Linked DNA regions of Macaca fascicularis. The protein of the gene in region 3 binds, or shares a complex with, the protein of the main gene of each other region. Links are inferred from orthologs where the notes say so. Each region holds a gene or a part of one and is shown on either strand. Other genes may lie near its edges.

Evidence for each region.
Region 1: the proteins of MAPK1 (region 3) and PTPN7 are in contact, whole or in part, in a crystal structure (PDB 3D42), measured with the Homo sapiens proteins. The link is inferred for Macaca fascicularis from reciprocal best matches to the Homo sapiens genes MAPK1 and PTPN7. Residues at the interface, in NP_002736.3 of Homo sapiens: Thr185, Glu186, Tyr187, Val188; in NP_001351807.1 of Homo sapiens: Arg124, Tyr125, Lys126, Ile128, Asp257, His258, Ser292, Ala293, Gly294, Ile295, Gly296, Arg297, Gln335.
Region 2: the proteins of MAPK1 (region 3) and DHPS are in contact, whole or in part, in a cryo-EM structure (PDB 8PVU), measured with the Homo sapiens proteins. The link is inferred for Macaca fascicularis from reciprocal best matches to the Homo sapiens genes MAPK1 and DHPS. Residues at the interface, in NP_002736.3 of Homo sapiens: Tyr113, Tyr187, Ala189, Thr190, Arg191, Trp192, Arg225, Lys231, His232, Tyr233, Leu234, His239, Lys259; in NP_001921.1 of Homo sapiens: Arg159, Glu160, Asn161, Asn164, Asn173, Glu174, Tyr176, Cys177, Glu180, Asp181, Met184, Asp188, Asp243, Phe247, Tyr250.
Region 4: the proteins of MAPK1 (region 3) and DUSP6 are in contact, whole or in part, in a crystal structure (PDB 2FYS), measured with the Rattus norvegicus proteins. The link is inferred for Macaca fascicularis from reciprocal best matches to the Homo sapiens genes MAPK1 and DUSP6. Residues at the interface, in NP_446294.1 of Rattus norvegicus: Glu79, Glu107, Thr108, Leu113, Gln117, Leu119, Asp122, His123, Tyr126, Phe127, Gln130, Thr157, Thr158, Cys159, Asp160, Tyr314, Asp316, Asp319; in NP_446335.1 of Rattus norvegicus: Arg64, Arg65, Leu66, Gln67, Lys68, Gly69, Asn70, Leu71, Pro72, Val73, Arg74.

Annotation. Positions count from the first base shown.
Region 1 is NC_088375.1:59,915,368-59,919,418, reverse strand, and holds the start of PTPN7 (tyrosine-protein phosphatase non-receptor type 7), read left to right. Parts: upstream 1-1,251; 5' UTR 1,252-1,269; coding exon 1,270-1,532; exon of another isoform or gene 1,533-2,621; coding exon 2,622-2,795; intron 2,796-3,792; coding exon 3,793-3,976; intron 3,977-4,051. UniProt on the Homo sapiens protein: Protein phosphatase that acts preferentially on tyrosine-phosphorylated MAPK1. Plays a role in the regulation of T and B-lymphocyte development and signal transduction.
Region 2 is NC_088393.1:13,065,680-13,069,871, reverse strand, and holds the start of DHPS (deoxyhypusine synthase), read left to right. Parts: upstream 1-1,392; 5' UTR 1,393-1,506; coding exon 1,507-1,713; exon of another isoform or gene 1,714-1,732; intron 1,733-1,874; exon of another isoform or gene 1,875-1,963; intron 1,964-2,899; coding exon 2,900-3,064; intron 3,065-3,302; coding exon 3,303-3,424; intron 3,425-3,505; coding exon 3,506-3,602; intron 3,603-3,681; coding exon 3,682-3,768; intron 3,769-4,192. UniProt on the Homo sapiens protein: Catalyzes the NAD-dependent oxidative cleavage of spermidine and the subsequent transfer of the butylamine moiety of spermidine to the epsilon-amino group of a critical lysine residue of the eIF-5A precursor protein to form the intermediate deoxyhypusine residue.
Region 3 is NC_088384.1:31,257,359-31,261,642, forward strand, and holds the start of MAPK1 (mitogen-activated protein kinase 1), read left to right. Parts: upstream 1-1,484; 5' UTR 1,485-1,692; coding exon 1,693-1,811; intron 1,812-4,284. UniProt on the Homo sapiens protein: Serine/threonine kinase which acts as an essential component of the MAP kinase signal transduction pathway. MAPK1/ERK2 and MAPK3/ERK1 are the 2 MAPKs which play an important role in the MAPK/ERK cascade.
Region 4 is NC_088385.1:96,315,958-96,320,162, reverse strand, and holds the start of DUSP6 (dual specificity protein phosphatase 6), read left to right. Parts: upstream 1-1,405; 5' UTR 1,406-1,869; coding exon 1,870-2,269; intron 2,270-2,883; coding exon 2,884-3,321; intron 3,322-4,205. UniProt on the Homo sapiens protein: Dual specificity protein phosphatase, which mediates dephosphorylation and inactivation of MAP kinases. Has a specificity for the ERK family. Plays an important role in alleviating chronic postoperative pain.

The sequences.
Region 1 (4,051 bases), on a different chromosome or scaffold from region 3:
TGACTGGTGTGGGGGGTGAGGCAGAGGCCAGTCTCCGGGTCACTGCCCGCAAGCATGTTAGGGATTCCCAGGTTCCTGCTCCCCTCCACTCTCTCCTGAGCACAGGAGCCAACCCATTTCCCAGCCCTAATTGGCCTCCTCCTCGGGGAAACCCACCCACTCTGGAGAGGAGCGCAGGCTGCAGGGAAGGAGGCGCCAGGATCAGCTGGCCATGGAGGAGCTCAAAAAAGAGCCAGCCCCTGTCCCCACTGCCCAGAGCAAGGGCGGGTGCTGGGAGGCCTTCTGAGCCTCTGAGAGCCGTTCTTGTTCTTCATCTCAACCCTCCTCCCCAAGGGGCCAGCAGAAGGCCAGCCCCCTCCCGACCACCCCCTCCGGCATGCCTACCCCCTGTGTCTAGGGTACCTCATTTCTTTTTTGCTGTCACCATTTGACAGCTGAATCAGGGAAGTGGGAGGAAGAAAGAGGACGTGGATTGCGCGTGTTGGGGGCCGGGAAGGGAAGGGCGTTTGAAATGTTACAAGGTAAAAGGAGGCCTGCAGCAAGCATGAATCGGCTGGGCTGCTGGCCCGCAAGGAGCCTGCCAAGGCCAGGCAGGGGCAGTGGGCAGAGGAGTCTTGGACTTGGGGGCCACCCTTCAGGTCCCAGGCATCCAGGCACCCCAGCAGCGAAGAGGACATGGGAGTCCCCTGGTGTGAGGGCCAGAGACTCTCCACTGTCTGTAAGTCTTCTAAGTAGATGTCAGGGTTCTGGGAGGAGGCCTGCAGGGGGCTGGGGGCCCAGGGGAAGCCCCTCAGACTCCCTCCCACAAGTGGACTCTGCTATCTGTTTCCTGCTGGGCTGGCCTACATTCAGGCCGCGGGCTGTGGAGAGCTGGGCCGTGGCACAGGGCGTGGAGACGACCTTTTTGGCCTGGCCCCAGGCCTTTCCTTCACATTGTGAGGCATGGATTCTTGCCTCCTCTTTTTCCCCACCCCAAGTCTGTGCCACATCTGCTCTGGGAAGATGTGGTCTGTGCTTGGCCATGAATTCCCAAGGCTTGAAGCAGCAAGGGCTTTGAGGGAGAGGACTGTGAGGCAGAAGCAGAGAAGCAGAAATAAGCCTCCGGCCAAGGTCAGGTTGAGCAGGAGAGCCTTGGGTTCTTTGTGGGACAGCACAAAGCTGGGGGTCAGGCGAGCTGTGCCCAGCAAGTAGGCAGTGGCTGGATGTGACAAAGACCCAGAGGAGAAACACAGCAGGAGGGGAGAGGGTCTGGAAGCTGGGGAAAGCAGGATGGTCGGGAAGGCCTGGCCCCTCACCCATTCCCAGGGAACAGGGCCTTGGGCCCCAGAAGGGCACAGGCGGGAGGCAGCCGACCCCTGGTGGCAGCGGCAGCAGGCACAGGAGGGCAGAATGCAGCTGGGGTGTGCGTGGGTGGCAGCAAGGAGGGGCGGAGGGAGGAAGCTGGCTTCCTGGAGCCTTCTCAGCCCTCAAAGACAGACCGACAGACAGACAGACAGCTGGCAAGAGGCAGCCTGGGGGCCACAGCTGCTTCAGTAAGTATCTGAAGCGGGGACTGGGAGTCCTGTGGCCCTGGGGGGTGCGAACTCCGGGGATATAAGAGGGCATCTCAGGAGGGAGTGCAGGAGGGCGAGTGGGGCGCTCCAATGCCTGGCTGGGGAATGGGTGCTCACAGACCTGGTGTCCCCAAGATGGGGGTGAGCAGGGAAACCACAGGGAGCTGCAAGGAGAGCAAAGGCTGAAGGGACCCTTTCTGCTGCCAGAGACCGTTGCTCTACCACCCACACCTGTGCCGGGCCCACTCTGTCCCCTCACCTCCATCCCTGCCGCCTTGGTGACTCAACAGCCCCGCCACCTCGCCCACTGTGACCCTGGCTCTGGGAGATAGGGACTGCCCCCAAGAGGAGATGGTCCCATCACCTCCATGCCCCCTGTCTTGCCCCCAGCTGTCGCCTCACCATGCGCTGTCGCTCAAGGGCTTGGTGAGGCCATTTCCTGTGACGGTTACAGAGGCGGGAGACGGGGGGATGGGCAGGAGGAGGAAGGAAACACCTCCAGCCTACCTCCATGGACAGAGACCCCAGAAGCCAGAAATGGACTTGGGAGTGGAACAGCAGCAGTTAGGAGAGGACCCTGCTGGGGTCCAGGAGCCCGCCTGCCTGGCTGCCCAATCAGCTCCAACACTGCTGGAGGCCTCCATTCTCTGTTCAGGAGAAGGCCCACTGGTTAGCTCAGAGATGGCTTCTGCACGCTTTCTCCCTTCTGTCCTAGAGAACACATGTTTTCTGTTTCCTCCCTTGCCTTCTCCCACTTGGACCCGCTCAGAGCCCTGTGTACTCTGGTGTGTGGTCTCTCTCCCCTCTCTCTTTTCCTCCTTCTGGATTGTTTCCTATCTTCATCCACAATCTCTACCCTTTATCTTGCCGTTACTCTGACCCCAGACTGCCTTGTGTCCTGGGTCCCGCCAAATAGATCCTGTCCTTCCCTTAGTGAAAATGAGGCTACCTCTTGGGAAACAGAAGACGACCCAGTGAAAATAAGAGCGCAAAGCCGGCCTAGCGTGGGAGCCTCCTTCTGGCCAATCAGCAGGCCAGAGAACAGCAGCGGAGGACCCTGTCTTTCAGGCAGACCTCATGGCTGAATGAGCCTCCCCTGGGCCTAGCACCCCACCCCAGCATGGTCCAGGCCTGTGGGGGGCGCTCCAGAGCACAGCCGCTGACCTTGTCTTTGGGGGCAGCCATGACCCAGCCTCCGCCTGCCAAAACGCCAGCCAAGAAGCATGTACGGCTCCAGGAGAGGTGAGATCTTCCCTGGGAGAGGGGTCTTCCCCGCCCTGCGTCCCCATTCCGCTCCTCCCTTCCCTCCATCTGCTCCTCCAGCTCTGACAGCAGGGTCCAGAGGGCCCTCAGGTGTTGACTCCTATTTGGAAAGGAAACCAATAGTGCTCATTTGCATGTCTTTTGCATGTCTGGAGCACAGAGTTTCATATCAACCCTGGGCCTGCTCCCTAAATTCCAGGCAAGGCCAGCAGCTTTCTTGGTGCTGGATGCATGTCAGAGCCACAGGGCCTGGCTGGGAGTGGGAAGAGGCAGGCGGCTGGAAGAAGCAGTTGAGTTCAAGGCTGCCCTGTTCTGGCTGACAAAGGGAGAGGGCTGAGCCGGGCATGGTAGCTCATGCCCCAAATCCCAGCACTTTGGGAGGCTGAGGTGAGAGGATCTCTTGAGTCTAGGAATTAGAGACCAGCCTAGGCAATATAGTGAGACCTCCTCTCTCTCAAAAAAAAAGGAGGGCATACAGCAGGGGCCCGAACCCTAAATTTACTGGGCCTCCAGGTTAAAGGAAAGACAAAGAGCGGCCCCCTCAGAGGTGCCTCATAACAGTAATACTTGTAAGAAAAGCAAATATGGTCAGGTACAGTGGCTCATGCCTATAATCCCAGCACTTTGGGAAGCCAAGGCAGGAGGATCACTTGAGTTCAAAACCAGCCTGAGCAACAGAGCAAGACCCTGTCTCTCCAAAAAAAAAAAAAAAAATTTAAATTAGCCAGGTGTGGTAGCATATGCCTGTGGTCCCAGCTACTCTGGAAGCTGAGGTGGGAGGATCGCTTCAGCCCAGGAGTTTGAGGCTGCTGTGAGCCACAATTGTGCCATCACACTCCAGCCTGGGCAACAGAGAGAGACCCTATCTCCAGCCTGGGCAACAGAGAGAGACCCTATGTCTTAAAGAAAAGATAAAAAGAAAAGGAAAGCAAATATGATTGGGTGCTCACTAGGCAGTGGGGGGCTATACCTGCAGGCGGGGCTCCAATGTGGCTCTGATGTTGGACGTTCGGTCGCTGGGGGCCGTAGAACCCATCTGCTCCGTGAACACACCCCGGGAGGTCACCCTACATTTCCTGCGCACTGCTGGACACCCTCTTACCCGCTGGGCCCTTCAGCACCAGCCACCCAGCCCCAAGCAGCTGGAAGAAGAATTCTTGGTAAGAAATTGGGGTCCCCTCCGAATCACTCTGCCCTCTGTATCAGAGGCAGCCAGCTGGAACCATTCTCTCACG
Region 2 (4,192 bases), on a different chromosome or scaffold from region 3:
GGGCCGAGATCGCGTCACAGCACTCCAGCCTGGCGACAGAGTGAGACCCTATCAAACAACAGCAGACCGGGCGCGGTGGCTCAAGCCTGTAATCCCAGCACTTTGGGAGGCCGAGATGGGTGGATCATGAGGTCAGGAGATCCAGACCATCCTGGCTAACACGGTGAAACCCCGTCTCTACTAAAAAATACAAAAAATTAGCCGGGCGAGGTGGCGGGCGCCTGTAGTCTCAGCTACTTGGGAGGCTGAGGCAGGAGAATGGCGTGAACCCGGGAGGCGGAGCTTGCAGTGAGCTGAGATCCGGCCACTGCACTCCAGCCTGGGCGACAGAGCAAGACTCCGTCTCAAAAAAAAAAAAAAAAAAAAAAGGTAACAACAACAAAACCAGCGTCTCCTCCCGAGGGGACAGAACAGAAACGAATGGGCGAGCGCCGGCAAAGCGGTGGGTCTCCAGCAGGCGGCATTAAAATCTTGGCTGGGGGCAGTGGCTCACGCCTGTAATCCCAGCACTTTGGAAGGCCGAGGCGGACGGATCACGTGAGGTCAGAACCAGCCTTGTCAACATGGTGAAATGCCGTCTCTACTGAAAATACGAAAATTAGCCAGGCGTGGTGGTGGGTGCCTATAATCCCAGCAACTCGGGAGGCTGAGGCAGGAGAATCGCTTGAACTAGGGGAGCAGGGTTTGCCGTGAGCCGAGATTGCAACACTGCACTCCAGCCTGCGTAACAAGAGTATAACTCTGTCTCAAAAATAAATTAAATAAATAATACAAATAAAAAAGAATCTTCATGCGAAGTCGGGAACACATGAAAAGGCGTAAAGGCCTGGCGCGGTGGCTCACGCCTGTAATCCCAGCACTTTGGGAGGCCCGAGGCGGGCGGATCACCTGAGGTCGGAAGTTCGAGACCAGTCTGACCAACAAAGGGAAACCCTGTCTCTACTAAAAATACAAAATTAGCCGCGCGTGGTGGTGTATGCCTGTAGTCCCAGCTACTTGGGAGGCTGAGGAAGGAGAATCGCTTGAACCCGGAAGGTGGAGGTTGCAGTGAGCTGAGATTGCGCAATTGCACTCCAGCCTGGGCGACAAGAGTGAAACCCTGTATCGAATGAAAGAAGAAAGGAAGGAAGGAAGGAGGACGGGAGGGAGGGAGGGAGAGAGGGAAAAGGAAAGAAAGGAAGGAAAGAAAAGGAAGGAAGGAAGGAAAGAAAGAACAAAGAAACGAAAAAAAGAAAGAAATGAAGAAAGAAAGAAAAAAGAAAAAGACAAGACCTAAAGGCTCCTCGCGGCTTCCGTATTACGGAACACATGCGCAAAGATGGCGGCGACCAGGTTTACAGGGCCTAAAAATGGTCACGTGAAAAATCAACTTCCGGTCTTTCTTCCAAAAACGCATTCCCTACTTCCTGTGCTCCTGCGAGACGCGCGCGTCGGGGATTAACGCGTTTCTGGGCCGCCGTAAGCCCGGCTAGGGGCCGCTGTGACTCGAGAGCTGGCTACAGGCGCATGGAAGGTTCCCCGGAACGGGAGGCGCCAGCGGCGGCGCTGGCCGCCGTGCTAAAGCACAGCTCGACGTTGCCGCCCGAAAGCACCCAGGTTCGGGGCTACGACTTCAACCGCGGTGTGGATTACCGCGCGCTGCTGAAAGCCTTCGGCACCACCGGCTTCCAGGCCACCAACTTCGGGCGCGCTGTACAGCAAGTCAATGCCATGGTGAGGACGGGGGCGGGACTTCTAGGGACGCGGAGGGGCGTGGCTTGCAGAACCAGTGCGGTACGGGGCAGGGCTTCCAGTGGAGGGGATGTGTCTTTTATTTGAGCGGCCCAATAGTTGGAGGAAGGCGGGACCTATTCTGGGCGGGAGTTTCTGTCCTGGGAAGGGGATTTTGCACTGTAGTAGTTACAGGGTAGTACGGTAGCCCGAGGAGGCAAGGACTGATTCTCGGTGTGGGAGCGGGTTCCAGGTAAATTTACAGCTTTCTGGAATGGGCGGAGCCTGAGGCTATACAAGTTAAGGGAGGATTTGGGAGGAGGAGCCTAAGTCTGGGCGGTGATTGAATTTAGATTTGCTTTTCCCAGCGGGGAAGGGACCGGATCTGAAAGGAGATGCTCTCTGATTCCTAAAAACGTGGGGGCTGGCTGGGCGCGGTGGCTTATGCCTGTAATCCCAGCATTTTGGGAAGCCGAGGCGGGTGGATCACTAGATCAGGAGTTCGAGACCAGCCTGGCCAACATGGTGAAACCCTGTCTCTACTAAAATTCAAAAAATTAGCCGGGCATGGTGATGCGCGCCTGTAGTCCCAGCTACTCCGGAGGCTGAGGCAGGAGAATCGCTTCAACCCGGAAGGTTGCAGCGAGATCGCGCCACTGCAATCCAGTCTGGTGACAGAGCCATACTCTGTCTCAAAAAAAAAAAAAAAAAAAGGCCGGGCACGGTGGCTCACGCCTGTAATCTCAGCATTTGGGGAGGCTGAGGCGGGCGGATCACCTGAGGTCGAGAGTTCGAGACCAGCCTGACCAACATGGAGAAACCCCGTCTCTACTAAAAAGACATACCTGTAATCTCAGCTACTTGGGAGGCTGAGGCAGGAGAATTGCTTGAACCTGAGAGACGGAGGTTGCGGTGAGCCAAAATTGCGCCATTGCACTCTAGCCTGGGCAACAAGAGTGAAACTCTGTCTAAAAAAAATGGGTGGGGGCAAATCCTTAACACGTGTCCTGAGATCTGGTCTGGGAAGGGGCAGAGTTTGCACAGGAGATGTACCTTGGTCTCCTGTAGAACTGGTCCTGTATCCCTGACTGTGCAGGGCCTGGGGTGAAATCTGTTTCTGGACCCCACCTGGAGTCCTGGGTCTGGGATTTAACGCCAGTGCTTAACTCGACCTGGCTCTTACTCTCAGATCGAGAAGAAGCTGGAACCACTGTCACAGGATGAAGACCAGCATGCAGACCTGACCCAGAGCCGCCGCCCACTTACCGGCTGCACCATTTTCCTGGGATATACATCCAACCTCATCAGTTCAGGCATCCGTGAGACCATTCGCTACCTTGTGCAGCACAACATGGTGGGGACCTGGTGGGGCCGTGGCCTTGGCCTCTGGGTCAATGGGCGATGCAGTTATTGATCGTTTAAGTGAGATGGGGAGATAGGAGTCTGTTACAAGCAGAGGAACAGAATCGAGTTTTGTTTTGTAGCAGAGCTCCCTCGTAGGAGTCACTGGACAAGGATGAGGTTAGAAGTCCTGCCCAGAATGAGGGCCGGGGCTTCCTTCTTGGGCCAACTTCACTGCCCTGTGGCTGCAGGTGGATGTATTGGTGACCACAGCTGGCGGCGTGGAGGAGGACCTCATCAAGTGCCTGGCGCCCACATACTTGGGCGAGTTTAGCCTCAGGGGGAAGGAGCTCCGGGAGAACGGAATCAATAGGTGAGAACCCTGAGTGGTGCTGGGCAGGGGAGCTGGACCAAGGGTCCTGGGGCCTGATGCCCACATGCTTCCCGTCCTCAGGATCGGAAACCTGCTGGTGCCCAATGACAATTACTGCAAGTTTGAGGACTGGCTGATGCCCATTCTGGACCAGATGGTGCTGGAGCAGAACACAGAGGTGGGGCTGGGGCAACCTGGAGGGGCCAGTCCAGTGGGAGTCAGGGGAGGCATGGCCTGAAGCTCACCTCCTCTCCTAGGGTGTAAAGTGGACGCCTTCTAAGATGATCGCCCGGCTGGGCAAGGAGATCAACAACCCAGAGTCCGTGTATTACTGGGCCCAGAAGGTGAGGACCTAAGCGGGGGCAAAGTAGCCAGACTTTGACATGTGTTACTTCATCTTTCCAGCCACCTGGGGATTCACCACTGTTATTCTCAGCATCCTCACGCTTAGATGAGGAGACTCAAACACAGATAGGCATGGTAAATTTTTTTTTTTTTTTTTTTGAGACAGGATCTGGCTCTGTCACCTAGGCTGGAGTGCAGTGATGTGATCACAGCTCACTGCAGCCTCAACCTCCTGGGGCCAAGCAGTCCTCCCACCTCAGCCTCTCGAGTAGCTGGGACCACAGGCACATGCCACCATGACCAGCTAATTTTTTTTTTTTTTTTTTTTTTTTGAGACGGAGTCTCGCTCTGCCGCCCAGGCTGGAGTGCAGTGGCCGGATCTCAGCTCACTGCAAGCTCCGCCTCCCGGGTTCACGCCATTCT
Region 3 (4,284 bases):
GACTGTTTCTGGGTCTGGTGTGTCTGTCTCTTTATCTCTAAATCTCCATGTTTTGGTTTTAGTGACTTCATCTTTGCATTTCTATTTCAGTACCTGCTGTCAATATTTCTGCCCATCTGTACCAATCTGGGTCTGTTTCCGAACGCAAATGTATCTCTCATGTGTTTCGACCCACTGACCCCTAATCCCTTACTCTCTGCTTTGTATTTCTTTTTTCTTTTCTTTCCTTTTTTTTTTTTTTTTTTGGAGACGGAGTCTTGCTCTGTTGCCCAGCCTGGAGTGCAGTGGCGCGGCTCACCATAACCTCCTCCTCCCAGGTTCAAGCGATTCTCCTGCCTCAGCCTCCCGTGTAGCTGGGATTACAGGCACCCACCACCACGCCAAGCTAATTTTTGTATTATTATTATTTTGTTTTCGAGACGGAGTCTTGCTCTGTCGCCCAGGCTGAAGTGCAGTGAGGCGATCTCGGCTCACTGCAACCTCCGCCTCCCGTGTTCAAGCCATCCTCCTGCCTCAGCCTCCCAAGTAACTGGGATAACAGGCGCCCGCCACCGCGCCCAGTTAAATTTTATATTTTTAGTAGAGACGGGGTTTTACCATGTTGGCCAGGCTGGTTTTGAACTCCTGATCTCGTGATCCGCCCGCCTCAGTTTCCCAAAGTGCTGGGATTACAGGCATGAGCCACCTCGCCCGGACTTAATTTTTGTATTTTCAGTAGAGACCTGGTCTCAAACTCCTGATCTCAAGTGATCCGCCCGCCTTGGCCTCCCAAAGTGACAGGCGTGAGACACCGCACCCTCCCTTCTGCTCTGTACTTCTTCAACGTACTTATCACAACTTGAGTATTACACGTATTTGTCTGTCTGTCTCTCTCTAAAAAGTAACTCCCAGGAACATGGAGTGTGCTCAACAAACATCTGAACCAACCTGATTCGCGTATCCTCTCTGTCTCCTTTTAATCTCAACAATTGTGTTTCACACTTTCTCAGTATGCAAATATCTTTCTCGGTCTGGGGTCATGCCTTTCGGTTTCTGCCCCAGTGCCAAGGCCTCTTAAGTTCATCAGCGTGTGGACCACGGATTCGCAGAGGCCTGAGCTGTGGCGCGGCCGGGCTATGGCGCGTCGTCGGGCCTCAAGCACAGCCCCTTGTCCCTCGCTGGCTCTGTTCGGTACTTCCTCGGGTGCTCGCCCGGGCCCCTGCCATCTCTCACTTCAGCCCCGTGGGTTCTGCCCCACGTCTGTCTCCCTGGGTGTCTGAAGAGACAAGTCCCGCGCCGACGCCCCCGCGAACGCACGTGACCGCGCCCGGTGGTGCCCCCTTAGTCAACGCCGCGCAGTGCCCCTCCCGGAGCCCGCCGCTTCCGCTGGGCCGCGCGGCCCCGCCCCCAGCCGCTAGGAACCAATCCGCATGCACGCTGCTTGGCCCCGCCCGGGCACCCTTCTCGGCGCGCGCCCCTCCCTGCGCCCGCCCGCCGGCCCGCCCGTCAGTCTGGCAGGCAGGCAGGCAGTCGGTCCGAGTTGTCGTGGGCTCTTCAGGTCTGCCACACGGCGTCTTCTTTCCTCCTCCCGGTCAGCGGCGGCGGCTGCACCGGCGGCGGCACAGTCCCTTCAGGAGGGGCGATAGAAGCTGAGCGGCGGCCGCCGAGCGTCGAGCTCAGCGCGGCGGAGGCGGCGGCGGCCCGGCAGCCAACATGGCGGCGGCGGCGGCGGCGGGCGCGGGCCCGGAGATGGTCCGCGGGCAGGTGTTCGACGTGGGACCGCGCTACACCAACCTCTCGTACATCGGCGAGGGTGCCTACGGCATGGTGTGGTGAGTGTCCGCGCCCGGCCACGCCCGGCCCCCCCGCCGCCCGGGGCCGCAGCGGACGCAGCCTCGGCCTCGCCGGCGCCTCGGCCTCGGGCGCCGCGGCGACCTCGAACCCGGACTTCACTGCGGTCCGCGCGCCAGGGCTCGGGCGGGGCCCTGGGCCGGTTGAGGTTTAGGTGGTGTTGCTCTCGCGCTTCCCGGGCCGGCGGTCGCTCGGGAAGGGGCGCAGCGTGGGGGGCGGGGGGCGGAGGCCGGGACTAGTGGACCCTCGGCCCCGGGCGCAGCGCCGCCTTTAAAGTCTGGACCCTCGGGAAGGCAACGGAAGCGCCTCCACCCCCCAATTTGCTAGTATCATGGCCTTCTTTTGGACTTTCGATTGTAAAACCGGGAATTCCATCAGATGCTTGTCGGTGTTGGCGGCGGTGGCTGCTGAGGTCCTGAAAGCGGTTCGCCTCCGTGTGTGTGCAGAACACCGAAATAATTTTTCTCTCCTCGCCTCTGTTTGCAGCCAACGGCTTTCATTAACTGTCCTCAGCGGTGCTAATGGTGGTCTCCGCGCAGGCTTTCTAAAATGGATTACTGACACCAGTGTTGGTGGAGTATTTCCGTCTTGAAGTTTGTACTTTCAAGTGGATTTTAATATCGTACTGCTAGCGTTTCAGGAAGGATAAACCAACATTACTCTCTTCATTTATTAAAGATCCATTTAGAGTTGGGCCTAATTTGACTTTTTTTTAGCCCCCAAGTGAGCTCTTTTACCAGCATAAATGCTCCCAGATGTTTTAGCCCAATTGCTATGGACTCCTGTTAATGATTTAGTGGTCATTATGTATGCAGCCTTAATGGAGTTATTGCAGAATCACGTGTAGACTCCCTCATCTTGATTCAGGTCCCTTAGAAAAGTGAAATGATAGTGACGGTTTTTCTTTCTCTCTTTTTTTTGAGACGGGGTCTCGCTCTGTTGCCCAGGCTGAAGTGCAGTGGCGCGATCTCTGTTCACTTCAACCTCCGCCTCCTAGGTTCAAGCGATTCTCTTGCCTCAGCCTCCCTAGTAGCTGAGACTGCAGGCGCGCGCCACCACGCCCGGCTAATTTTTGTATTTTTTAGTAGAGACAGGGTGTCACCATGTTGACCCGGATGGTCTCGATCTATTGATCTAGTGATCCGCCCGTCTCGGCCTCCCAAAGTGCTGGGATTACAGGCGTGAGCCACCGCGCCCCGCTGACGGTATTGTTTTTATTAAAGCAAACTAGCGGTAGCATTTTGTGCTGGTGAGGACTTGTGGAAATAGATTTCCTTAAATCTGAATCTTGTGAATGTGTCTTTTGTGTTGACTGAAGGAAGTAAACTAATAATTTATTGAGCACTTCGTGGCAGGTACTGTGCTACATATATTATTTCATTTTATTTGAACAGCCACATTGAGGGAGGAAAAGATGGTGTTATTCCTTTTTTCAGGTGAGAAAGTGTTTCGAGGTGAAGCCAATTCCTGAGGTCATAGAACTAGAGTTATTAAGATTGTAGACTGAGATTCTACTAGACACACTGCAGCTCTTTTCAGCTGTCTTTAGGAAAACACTCTGCGTTCCTTAGTGTAATTAATACTTGCAGAATTTTCTGTATCTTACTGTTACAAAGTAAATACAAGTCTGTTTCAGAAATGTATTCAAATTTCAATCATCATAATTTTAGAAATGCCATAGAAGGCATGTTTTACCAAGTATGGTAGCTAGACAGAAAGATTAGTTAAAATTCTTTTAAAAGAGACTTTAATTGAATCTTTAATGTTTTCACTTTCTTTAGGAGCAAAATGCTGAATACAACTGTGAAAATTAATATGAACTTACAGGCTTAGGAGCCAAGAGAGAATTTAAATTAGGTCGAGCCTAAAAGAAGTAAGGCCCTGAAAAGTAATGAAGAGAAAGTATTGCCAGTAGCATTATTTCTCCACCATACATCTCATTGCTGTTGCACTCACTGGGAAGCGTGCCAGTGAACATGTCTCATTATGAGAGGCTCAGAATTTCCCATCACATCCTTTGGCCCTTTTAACAAGATTAGCTTATCTAAAATGTGGACTGAAAAAAGTCTTTTACGTTTAGGACATGTCAATTGAAAAGATACCCCCATCTGATAAGATTTCTCCTGTCTGATAAGGTTTTTATTAGTCTGAAGTTATTTAGATGTGGGAACCACTTCTGTCACTGCTGTAGGCTTATTTGACCATCTGACTCTCCATTTGAAATGCTAAGTCCTCTTTTTGTGATTTTCTTTTCCTAAGTGAAATACAAATATAATTGGAATTTGAATCCTAGATCCAGATTATAGCCTTTTATCAGGTTGATGACATACCCTGCTGTTAACCTTCTCCATTGCACGTTATTAGCATTTAATAAATGTTGGCTAGCAGTGCTGGGTTTATGGAGGGCTTGTTGAAATATTCACTAATATTTGAATAGTGATCTTTTAAAAAATG
Region 4 (4,205 bases), on a different chromosome or scaffold from region 3:
GCTGGCTCTGCAGGGCGGTAGAGACGTTCCCCTCGACTCCTTGGGAGCCAGGAGCCAGGGGGGTCCAGGCAGGCACTCGTCCTTGCTCCTCCCACCCGCCCCACATCTTTATGGAACCGGGAGTCCCGCGCTCAGCCCAGTACCCGTCCACTGCATCGCGCACAACCCCCTGCCCGCCAAGCGGGGAGACGGGGACAGCGGGGCGGTGGCAGGGAGCGCAGCGCGCAGGCGCGACTAGTGCTCCCCGGAGTGCCCGGCGCTGGACAAAGGGAGGAGGCGGCGGCAGGAGAGGGCTGGGGAGGCCCCCTCTGACATGCCTCCCTGCCAACTAACCAATCGTCAAGCCCCCCTGCTGAGGCCCCGCAGCCTGCAGGCCTTCCCCACTCCTCGCCCATGGCGGGGACTGCCGGCCTGGCCCGGCGCGTCCCAGCACACCTCGCCCAGGCAGCCCCGCCAGACCGGCTCCTCCGTCAGAAGCCGAGCTCCTTGCCCAGAAATCATTAACGAGCGCGACCCCCCAGCAGGCGACGGTGGTGATGGGGTGGGGGGAGAGATTTAGATCCCCGGAACAATGGCTTGTAACTCCCCACGCCGCTGGAGCGGAATACAGTAAAAGCACTGGACTGACCTAAGAGTTTGTTTCTGCACTCTACATTGTTTTAAAGAAAATAAAATGTTACTTTAAGAAAAAAGGTTTCCTTCTGATTTTCTGAACAACCAGACGTTTGTTTGTTTGCTTTAAAATGTTTCAACAAAATCCTGGTTTGTTTCGAAATATGTTGGATTAGCATTTAACACCTCATCGGTCACTAAAGCCCAGTCAATTCACCAGCCCCAACACAGCCTCGGCTAAAAGAACATCAGAGCAAACAGAGCTAGGCCTTTAAAACTGGCAAACAAATGCCACACACCGCCTAAAGAAGGGGGGTTGGGGGAGGGGAGGGTTAAGGCGAACTTGGGTCCAAATGAGTTTGAAGAGAATACAAAGAACAAAAAGTCAGCACAAGTTTTCCTAAAGCTAGCTCGCGAACGCTAGCGTCGCGAACAAGGGCTTTTGTGCATGCTAATTGCGCCATTGGTGCGCAAAAGTTCCGACGCGAAGTGTGAACTCTCAACAGAAGGAAACATGAGACAACTGAAGTGCCCTGGTTTATGTGCCCTGCTCCTCCTCCGCTGCCGCCTCCCCTTCTTTCTCCTTCCTCCCGCCGAGCCCGCTGTTGCAGCTTGTTTGCACTGGGGCTTATCCGGAGCGGAAATTCCTTTCCGTTTTTGTGAATGACAAACTCATTAACAATTCATCAACACAACCTGTTCCAGCCGGCCCGTCCCCACGGCAACAGCCCCTTCCGCAGCACGCTCATTGGCTGGCCCGGAGAATGTATCCATTGAGACGCTCGCTGTTTGTATCCATTGAGGAGCTGCCTCGCGCAGGGGGTGTGCGAGGCTGAGTCCAAGGGATAGTGAGCAAATCGAGTCTTAAATAATCCGGGGAGAAAGACGCCCGGGTAGATTTGAGGTGCAGACTTGGCGGGAGGGATTAGGAACCGCTAGACTTTTTTTCCTCCCCTCTCAGTAGAACTGAGTCCGAATTAATTGGATTTCATTCACTGGGGAGGAACAAAAACTGTCTGGGCAGCTTCATTGAGAGATTCATTGACACTAACAGCCAGCGGCTGCAGCTGGGTGCAGAAAGAACCTCCGGCTTTACTTCTGTCTCGTCTTCCCCAACCGCTAGCCTCGGCTTGGGTTAGGCGAGGCGGAATTAAACCCCGCTCCGAGAGCGGCAGCTTCACGCGCAGCGCGCTCGGCCTATGCCTGCCCCGAGGGGCGTCTGGTAGGCACCCCGCCCTCTCCCGCAGCTCGACCCCCATGATAGATACGCTCAGACCCGTGCCCTTCGCGTCGGAAATGGCGATCAGCAAGACGGTGGCGTGGCTCAACGAGCAGCTGGAGCTGGGCAACGAGCGGCTGCTGCTGATGGACTGCCGGCCGCAGGAGCTGTACGAGTCGTCGCACATCGAGTCGGCCATCAACGTGGCCATCCCGGGCATCATGCTGCGGCGCCTGCAGAAGGGCAACCTGCCGGTGCGCGCACTCTTCACGCGCGGCGAGGACCGGGACCGCTTCACCCGGCGCTGCGGCACCGACACAGTGGTGCTCTACGACGAGAGCAGCAGCGACTGGAACGAGAATACGGGCGGCGAGTCAGTGCTAGGGCTGCTGCTCAAGAAGCTCAAGGACGAGGGTTGCCGGGCGTTCTACCTGGAAGGTACGCGCCCGGGGAACTCCGCGCGCGGGGCAGGGCGAGGGGCGCAGGGCTGCGGGCGGGGCGCGTGGACTGAAAATGCCTCTGCTGCGCTCAGCTGGCGCTTCGGAGCCGCGCTGCTAGCCTAGGGGCCGGCAGCCGGCAAGGTATCGGCCGCGAACCGCGCGTTCCGCACCAGAGAACCGGGCCGGCTCAGAATCCACCCGCTTCCGGCTGCGGGTACCGGCGGTTTCTTTCTAACGGGTTCTGCGCCTTCTTACCCAGAACATTCTCCTCCATCACCCTATTTTCTATCGTTCGATTTTGAATTAAGATTTGGAGGACCGGAGAGATTGTTGGGGATGCAAATTGGCACATCCTAGCTTTCAAAATATTCCAAAAAGTTGCCATTTTGTGTATTTCCGGATTCAAACGAATAAGGGTTCTCTGGCGAGGCGGGCCCGTTCGTTCCATTCCCGAGGGTGCACATTTAAAGTGTATTTCTATTATTTATGGTTCTGTATGTAGGGGGTTCGTAGGGTGCTTGTGGTGTTTCTTGCGCCGGGTTGCGGTTCTTACAAGCTGTGAAAACTACTACGGCTTCTCGGGTTACACGATTGCTTTTCTCGTTCTGGCAGGTGGCTTCAGTAAGTTCCAAGCCGAGTTCGCCCTGCATTGCGAGACCAATCTAGACGGCTCGTGTAGCAGCAGCTCGCCGCCGTTGCCAGTGCTGGGGCTCGGGGGCCTGCGGATCAGCTCTGACTCTTCCTCGGACATTGAGTCTGACCTTGACCGAGACCCCAATAGTGCAACAGACTCGGATGGCAGTCCGCTGTCCAACAGCCAGCCTTCCTTCCCGGTGGAGATCTTGCCCTTCCTTTACTTGGGTTGTGCCAAAGACTCCACCAACTTGGACGTGTTGGAGGAATTCGGCATCAAGTACATCTTGAACGTCACCCCCAATTTGCCGAATCTCTTTGAGAACGCAGGAGAGTTTAAATACAAGCAAATCCCCATCTCGGATCACTGGAGCCAAAACCTGTCCCAGTTTTTCCCTGAGGCCATTTCTTTCATAGGTGAGACTAATTAATAGTAGTCGTTCTGACATTTAAATGCAAAATTCCCAGCCATTCATAGAGTTTAAGCTGTTAATCGTTCTTGCTGCTTGCTAATTTGTCGTACTGCAGGTCTCTAATTTTCCTAAAGCGTCCTTAATTCTGGTTTATCTTCTCGCTAAGGGAAGAAAACCTGCCTTTTGATATGGCTGCAGATTACAGGTGTATTTGAAACGCTGTTTCTGTGAATCTTTGAATTCAGTCATTTGACAGTCGTTCATAATCGGACAACAGATTTTTCCCACAGTCTTGGACTCAGGGGAAGGGTCAGATAGAAGTATTCACTATAGACAGAAATTCCAGCATTGCTTTATAATTTTAAAAAACCTAGGAGTTATTTTAGGACGTCAAGTTAGTTGTTGGAAAGCAGTATGAATGCTAAATGTTATCCAGTTGAATGATACTGTGATACTGGTAACAGTGAGACAGTGGGTAACCTGAGCCCAGAAGGAAGAACTGTGGGCTGGAAGCCTGGGAGAAGTGAATCTCCAGGCATTGTAATGCATTTCCTATTACAAAGGAACTCATTTTCAGGCCATGTCGACATCCTGTTCCTCCTAATGGGCCGTCCCCTGTGACTTCCCTCTCTCTTTTAAAATGCCTGAATACCTCCATTGTTAGCTGCACAACATTTGGAGAATAATTTAATAGACCCTTGCAGTCTGGTTGTCTGTATAAAAGGCATTCACGAACATATTGCAGGGTTTCTGGTATTCACATGCTGAGGCAAAGAATGCACCCATTAAGGAGTTTTTTGTTGGCAGAAACTTAATACAAAAGCTCTCTTTTCAGAAAATATCTGAAATATGTAATTGTGTCCAGTGTACATGTTTAATTTCAATGAT